Linked DNA regions of Saccharomyces cerevisiae S288C. The protein of the gene in region 1 interacts with the protein of each later gene in a biochemical or structural test. Each region holds a gene or a part of one and is shown in the gene's direction. Other genes may lie near its edges.

Region 1 (5,258 bases):
ATGCATCTGCAGGTGTACTGCCATTATATTGCAAATTTGCCAGGGTCACAATGTCGTTTGCCTCTTGGGTATCAGATTGCATTTTTTCAATACTTTTGGAAAGAATTTTCATGATATCCGTATAATCAACGGATAGGATGTCTTTGACCCAGGTAGGTAGGAATTGAGAGGGAGCAAATATTTGAAAAGTGTTATACAAGAAGGTGAGTTCATCATCAGTGATCTGACGTACGGGTTTTCCGTTTACTGTCGGAATAATACCACCGAGATTCGAGTTTTGTAAAAATTTGATGTATGTTTTAACCCAATTTGGAAAGTCATTAGGTGAGGTTAACATTGGTGGTGGTCTGACATATTTTTTAGTGGATGTCATATCAGAGTCCGCTGAGGATGAATCAGTAAATGTATTACCTGACTCAGGTGATGGAGTGCTCAGAGGCGTTCCAACTGATGATGGATACTGCGGAAACTGTGATTGTGGCCCAGGTGGAAAGTACATAGGCGACATTTGATAAGGTGTATACGGAATCATAGATGGGTGTCCGTAAAATGACCAACCAGATGGATTGGCTTGGTTTTGGGTCATCATGCACTGCTGTGGGTACGGCCCATTCTGTGGAGGTGGTACTGAAGCAGGTTGAGGAGAGGCATGATGGGGGTTCTCTGGAACAGCTGATGAAGCAGGTGTTGTTGTCTGTTGAGAGTTAGCCTTAGTGGAAGCCTTATCATATTCTTGAATTTTGGAAGCTGAAACGTCTAACGGATCTTGATTTGTGTGGACTTCCTTAGAAGTAACCGAAGCACAGGCGCTACCATGAGATATATGTGGGTAATTAGATAATTGTTGGGATTCCATTGTTGATAAAGGCTATAATATTAGGTATACAGAATATACTAGAAGTTCTCCTCGAGGATATAGGAATCCTCAAAATGGAATCTATATTTCTACATACTAATATTACGATTATTCCTCATTCCGTTTTATATGTTTCATTATCCTATTACATTATCAATCCTTGCACTTCAGCTTCCTCTAACTTCGATGACAGCTTCTCATAACTTATGTCATCATCTTAACACCGTATATGATAATATATTGATAATATAACTATTAGTTGATAGACGATAGTGGATTTTTATTCCAACAAAATCCACATTCTCTTCATATATACATATATTGGTTGTTGTTACTACTTTAGCTTTTTTCCTCTGTTCGTTTCAAGATCTAGCTTGCAATTATCCCTCTAGGTAATAACCAGCATAGTTGTCGTCGTTTCATGTGACCTATTCCCCTTTAATTGGATCAATCTTCCAATAAGAGTGGTTTCGTGGTCTAGTCGGTTATGGCATCTGCTTAACACGCAGAACGTCCCCAGTTCGATCCTGGGCGAAATCATTTTTTGAAGATTACATTAATAAGGCTTTTTTCAATATCTCTGGAACAACAGTTTTTTTTTACTTACTAATAGCTTTAAGGACCCTCTTGGACATCATGATGGCAGACTTCCATCGTAATGGGATGATCATATGATGGGCGCTATCCTCATCGCGACTCGATAACGACGTGAGAAACGATTTTTTTTTTCTTTTTCACCGTATTTTTGTGCGTCCTTTTTCAATTATAGCTTTTTTTTTATTTTTTTTTTTTCTCGTACTGTTTCACTGACAAAAGTTTTTTTTTCAAGAAAAATTTTCGATGCCGCGTTCTCTGTGTGCAACGGATGGATGGTAGATGGAATTTCAATATGTTGCTTGAAATTTTACCAATCTTGATATTGTGATAATTTACTTAATTATGATTCTTCCTCTTCCCTTCAATTTCTTAAAGCTTCTTACTTTACTCCTTCTTGCTCATAAATAAGCAAGGTAAGAGGACAACTGTAATTACCTATTACAATAATGACAGACGAAACTGCTCACCCGACACAATCTGCTTCAAAGCAGGAATCTGCTGCTCTGAAACAGACAGGCGATGACCAGCAGGAATCTCAGCAACAACGTGGCTACACCAACTACAACAATGGTAGCAACTATACCCAAAAGAAGCCTTACAACAGCAACAGACCTCATCAGCAAAGAGGTGGTAAATTTGGACCAAACAGATATAACAACCGTGGCAACTATAATGGTGGCGGTAGTTTCAGAGGTGGACACATGGGAGCCAACAGCTCAAACGTGCCATGGACTGGTTACTATAATAACTACCCCGTTTACTACCAGCCCCAGCAAATGGCGGCCGCTGGTAGTGCCCCTGCTAATCCAATTCCTGTCGAAGAGAAGTCACCTGTTCCAACTAAGATAGAAATCACTACCAAGTCTGGTGAACACTTAGATTTGAAAGAACAGCATAAAGCCAAGCTACAGTCTCAGGAAAGATCTACTGTGTCTCCGCAACCAGAGTCAAAGTTAAAAGAAACTTCTGATTCTACTTCTACTTCTACTCCAACTCCTACCCCTTCCACTAATGACTCTAAGGCCAGTTCTGAAGAAAATATATCTGAAGCTGAAAAGACAAGAAGAAATTTCATCGAGCAAGTTAAACTTCGTAAAGCTGCTTTAGAAAAGAAGAGAAAGGAGCAACTTGAAGGTTCTAGTGGCAACAATAATATTCCAATGAAGACTACCCCAGAAAATGTGGAAGAGAAGGGATCGGACAAACCTGAGGTAACCGAAAAAACCAAGCCTGCTGAAGAAAAATCTGCTGAGCCAGAAGTTAAGCAAGAAACTCCAGCTGAAGAAGGTGAACAAGGAGAAAAGGGCCAAATAAAGGAAGAATCCACTCCAAAGGTGTTAACCTTTGCTGAACGTTTGAAGTTGAAGAAACAACAAAAAGAACGAGAAGAAAAAACGGAGGGGAAGGAAAACAAGGAAGTGCCAGTACAGGAAGAGACTAAGAGCGCCATCGAGTCTGCTCCTGTGCCTCCCAGTGAACAGGTTAAAGAAGAAACTGAGGTCGCCGAAACCGAACAGTCAAACATTGATGAATCTGCAACAACTCCGGCTATCCCTACTAAATCTGATGAAGCTGAAGCTGAAGTTGAGGCTGAAGCAGGTGATGCTGGAACAAAGATTGGACTTGAAGCTGAAATCGAAACTACAACTGATGAAACTGATGATGGTACAAACACCGTTTCTCACATATTGAATGTATTGAAAGATGCTACACCAATTGAAGATGTCTTTTCTTTTAACTATCCAGAAGGTATTGAAGGTCCTGATATCAAATACAAGAAAGAACACGTCAAATATACATATGGCCCAACTTTCTTGCTTCAATTTAAGGACAAACTAAACGTCAAAGCGGACGCCGAATGGGTCCAAAGCACTGCTTCTAAAATTGTCATTCCACCAGGAATGGGCAGAGGAAATAGATCTAGAGATTCTGGCAGATTCGGCAATAATTCTAGTCGTGGCCATGACTTTAGAAATACCTCAGTGAGAAATATGGATGACAGAGCTAATTCAAGAACTTCATCAAAGAGAAGATCAAAGAGAATGAATGACGACAGGAGATCTAATAGATCTTATACATCAAGAAGAGACCGCGAGAGAGGCTCCTACAGAAATGAAGAGAAAAGAGAGGACGATAAACCAAAGGAAGAAGTTGCTCCACTTGTTCCAAGTGCTAATAGGTGGGTGCCAAAATTCAAGTCTAAAAAGACTGAAAAGAAGCTAGCCCCTGACGGAAAGACCGAACTATTGGACAAGGATGAAGTTGAAAGAAAGATGAAGTCACTACTGAATAAACTTACTTTGGAAATGTTCGATGCTATTTCATCTGAAATTTTGGCTATTGCAAACATATCAGTATGGGAAACAAATGGTGAAACGTTAAAGGCTGTGATAGAACAGATTTTCTTAAAGGCCTGTGACGAACCCCATTGGTCTTCTATGTACGCGCAATTATGTGGTAAAGTAGTTAAAGAATTAAACCCAGATATAACAGATGAAACTAATGAAGGTAAGACAGGTCCAAAATTGGTTTTGCATTACTTGGTTGCTAGATGTCATGCCGAATTTGACAAGGGTTGGACCGATAAATTACCCACAAACGAAGATGGTACTCCATTAGAACCTGAGATGATGTCAGAAGAGTACTATGCAGCTGCTTCTGCTAAGAGAAGAGGTTTAGGTTTGGTTCGTTTCATCGGTTTCCTATACCGTCTGAATCTGTTGACTGGAAAGATGATGTTCGAATGTTTCCGTAGACTAATGAAGGATTTGACGGATTCTCCATCTGAAGAAACTCTAGAGTCCGTTGTTGAATTGTTAAATACTGTTGGTGAACAATTTGAGACCGATAGTTTCAGAACGGGTCAAGCAACATTGGAGGGTTCGCAATTGCTCGATAGTTTGTTCGGTATTTTAGACAATATTATTCAAACTGCTAAGATTTCTAGTAGAATCAAGTTCAAGTTGATCGACATTAAAGAATTAAGGCACGACAAGAACTGGAACAGTGATAAGAAGGACAACGGTCCTAAGACCATTCAACAGATTCATGAGGAAGAGGAGAGACAACGTCAATTGAAGAATAATTCAAGATCTAATTCAAGACGTACGAACAACTCCAGTAATAGACACTCTTTCAGAAGGGACGCTCCTCCTGCATCAAAAGATAGCTTTATCACAACCAGAACATATTCTCAAAGAAATAGCCAAAGGGCTCCTCCTCCAAAGGAAGAACCAGCTGCACCAACTTCTACCGCAACAAATATGTTCAGTGCATTAATGGGAGAAAGTGATGACGAAGAGTAACATGAATAGATCATGTTAAGTATCGAAAATGTCACTTGGATACAAGGATGTTGGTAGAAAGTCTAATAAAATAATAAATTAATAGTACAACACAAATTTAATCTTACGTTTAATCCTGCGCTATTAATTGAAAATATATGCATGGAGAAGAAAAAAAAAGTGTCCCTAATTTACCATTGTTATATTTTCTCGATTAATGGGCTCATTTCTTTTCACTAAAAGCTATAAACAAGTTTGATGCATTTTAATGGGTAATCCTCTTACTGTGCTTTTTTTTCCTATCTTGTTCTATATGTCAATGCCTTTCTGTATTTTTATTTATAGCTTCGCCAGTCTTCGTTTACGATATGTTTTATATAATAGACCACTCAGCATATGTATAGTTTTGTATATTTATATCATTTATTAGCTGACGGCTTTAACTTCATATTTCGATTTAATCATGCTACTGCTTCACCATTTGTCCTTTTTTTTACAGAGGCCACGAAAGGAAAGGACCG
Region 2 (3,401 bases), on another chromosome or scaffold:
AGCGAAAATAAGGTTTCAAATACAGTAAGCCCCACACAAGATAAAGACGCGATCAGAAAACAACCCGATGACATTATAAATAATGATGAACCTTCACATAAGAAGATAAAAGTAGCACAGCCGGATTCCTTGAGGGAAACCAACACAACAGATCCACTTGGGCACACTAAAGCTGCGCTCGGAGAAGTGGCATCGATGGAGCTCAAACCAACTAATGACATGGATCCCTTGGCAGTGTCAGCAGCTTCAGTAGTGTCAATGTCCAATGACGTTTTGAAACCAGAGACGCCCAAGGGGCCAATCATAATCAGTAAAAACCCATCAAATGGTATTTTCTATGGTCCCTCCTTCACTAAACGAGAGTCTCTCAATGCTCGAATGTTTCTGAAATACTATGGTGCACACAAATTTTTAGACACTTACCTCCCCGAGGATTTGAACTCGTTATACATTTACTATCTTATCAAGTTGCTAGGCTTTGAAGTTAAAGATCAAGCGCTTATCGGCACCATCAACAGTATTGTCCATATCAACTCGCAAGAGCGTGTTCAAGATTTGGGAAGTGCAATATCTGTCACAAATGTTGAAGACCCATTGGCAAAAAAGCAAACAGTTCGTCTAATCAAAGATTTGCAAAGAGCAATTAACAAAGTTCTATGTACAAGATTAAGATTATCCAATTTTTTCACTATTGATCATTTTATTCAAAAATTACATACCGCTAGAAAAATTTTGGTCCTGACTGGTGCAGGTGTTTCAACTTCATTAGGGATCCCGGACTTCAGATCTTCTGAGGGGTTCTATTCAAAGATCAAACATTTGGGGCTCGATGATCCCCAAGACGTTTTCAATTACAATATATTTATGCACGACCCCTCTGTTTTCTATAATATTGCCAATATGGTTTTACCTCCAGAAAAAATTTATTCTCCATTGCATAGTTTCATTAAGATGCTACAAATGAAAGGGAAATTATTGAGAAATTATACTCAAAACATTGATAATTTGGAATCTTATGCGGGAATAAGCACAGATAAACTGGTGCAGTGCCATGGCTCTTTTGCTACTGCCACCTGCGTTACCTGCCATTGGAACCTACCCGGTGAGAGGATATTTAATAAAATTAGAAACCTCGAACTTCCACTATGCCCGTACTGTTACAAAAAAAGAAGAGAATATTTCCCAGAGGGATATAATAATAAAGTAGGTGTTGCTGCATCACAGGGTTCAATGTCGGAAAGGCCTCCATATATCCTTAACTCATATGGCGTTCTCAAACCAGATATCACATTCTTTGGCGAAGCACTGCCAAATAAATTTCATAAGAGCATTCGCGAAGATATCTTAGAATGTGATTTGTTGATTTGCATTGGGACAAGTTTAAAAGTAGCGCCAGTGTCTGAAATCGTAAACATGGTTCCTTCCCACGTTCCCCAAGTCCTGATTAATCGTGATCCCGTCAAGCACGCAGAATTTGATTTATCTCTTTTGGGGTACTGTGATGACATTGCAGCTATGGTAGCCCAAAAATGTGGCTGGACGATTCCGCATAAGAAATGGAACGATTTGAAGAACAAGAACTTTAAATGCCAAGAGAAGGATAAGGGCGTGTATGTCGTTACATCAGATGAACATCCCAAAACCCTCTAAGTAGAAGGCAATTTAATAATTTAAAAGTGCCAAATTAATATCAATTTACATAGTATGGCAAACAATTTTGTTTTCCTTTCAATTATTGTAGTCAAATATTATTTACATTCTGCTATTTTCATTGTACCGGGTGAAATATTACATGTACCGCCCATCTCACTAAAAAAATGAAAAAAAAAAATCTGCTAAAGACGCAAGGCTCTCACAAATAGCTTAATGTAAGAAGGGCAGGTGGAACAGCAAATTCAAATCATTTAACGCATCCATACATTCAAAATGAACTATTTAGAAGGCGTTGGGTCAAAGAAAGGAGGTGGTGGTATAGCCTCAGAATCTCAGTTTAACTTACAACGAAGGAAAGAAGTCGAATCATTACTTAGTAAAGGCGAAAATGTCCCGTACACTTTCCAAGATGAAAAGGACGATCAAGTAAGGTCCAATCCGTACATTTACAAGAATCATTCCGGTAAACTGGTTTGTAAACTATGTAATACAATGCACATGTCGTGGTCCAGCGTTGAAAGGCATTTGGGTGGTAAAAAACATGGTTTAAATGTGTTAAGGCGTGGTATCAGTATAGAGAAAAGTTCTCTAGGGAGAGAAGGCCAAACAACTCATGATTTCCGACAACAACAAAAGATAATTGAAGCTAAGCAATCTTTAAAGAATAACGGTACGATCCCTGTTTGTAAAATAGCTACCGTGAAAAACCCGAAGAACGGTTCAGTAGGTTTGGCTATCCAGGTAAATTATAGCAGTGAAGTCAAAGAAAATAGTGTCGATAGCGATGATAAGGCTAAAGTCCCTCCTCTCATTAGGATTGTATCTGGTTTAGAGCTATCAGATACCAAACAGAAGGGAAAAAAATTTCTCGTTATTGCGTATGAACCCTTTGAAAATATTGCTATTGAGCTACCTCCAAACGAAATATTATTCAGCGAAAACAATGACATGGACAATAATAACGATGGAGTAGATGAATTAAATAAAAAGTGTACATTTTGGGATGCTATATCAAAACTTTATTACGTTCAATTTTTCTTTAAACAAGCCGAACAAGAACAAGCCGATGTATGACAGTATTATTTTTGGGTAACGTTAATAATCGGCATACAAAACTCTAACCAAATTGGATTATATAATAGCTATTAAGGAAACAATTGTCTTTACAAGAGTTTTTTTTACGAAATTTTCCCATCCAATGTGCACTTATTCTCAGGGAGTATAATAACCATATTCCTCTAAAATTATATTACTGCTCAACTTCCATGCGCTTTTGCGATCTAGAGTATTTATGTTACCATTTATCAACAGTATCTAGTACTCGCAGCATACATACGTATTTATTCAGAAAAATGTAATTAGGCGAACAAGGCCGAAAACTGTGATGTGACAACGCTTGCTATACTTGAGAGATAATTGTAAAGGAAGAAGAGGGAACTAAGGAAGAGTACAACACGCCATACAATGATCAGAACATCATCTATATTAAAAAACTGTAACTATAGATACATACATTGCATCCATAGATGCTTGCTGAATGAAGCCAATTTGAAAGATAGAAAAACTCACAACGTAGAAAGAGTTTCAAATGAAAAGACATTTGAACAAGCTCTCGAAGAGGAACGTAAGGTATTTGGAGAACTATTCGAAGCTGGAGCAAGGGTTGAAAACATGAGGCACACTAATGCTAGCAAAATAATTGACAAGTATTACAATGGGCTACAGGACAACTCCGAGGGAACTAGTGT

What was found.
Region 2: the proteins of TIF4631 (region 1) and PRP11 form a complex in vitro, tested with the Saccharomyces cerevisiae proteins (one study listed by BioGRID).

The regions. Positions count from the first base shown.
Region 1 is NC_001139.9:822,160-827,417, forward strand, and holds TIF4631 (translation initiation factor eIF4G), read left to right. Parts: upstream 1-1,899; coding exon 1,900-4,758; downstream 4,759-5,258. Other genes in the region: YGR161C-C (gag protein), read right to left, coding at 1-856. UniProt on the Saccharomyces cerevisiae protein: Component of the eIF4F complex, which interacts with the mRNA cap structure and serves as an initial point of assembly for the translation apparatus.
Region 2 is NC_001136.10:375,006-378,406, reverse strand, and holds PRP11 (spliceosome assembly protein PRP11), read left to right. Parts: upstream 1-1,926; coding exon 1,927-2,727; downstream 2,728-3,401. Other genes in the region: NAD-dependent histone deacetylase SIR2, read left to right, coding at 1-1,650; MTF2 (Mtf2p), read left to right, coding at 3,118-3,401. UniProt on the Saccharomyces cerevisiae protein: mRNA splicing factors, PRP9, PRP11, and PRP21, are necessary for addition of the U2 snRNP to the pre-mRNA in an early step of spliceosome assembly.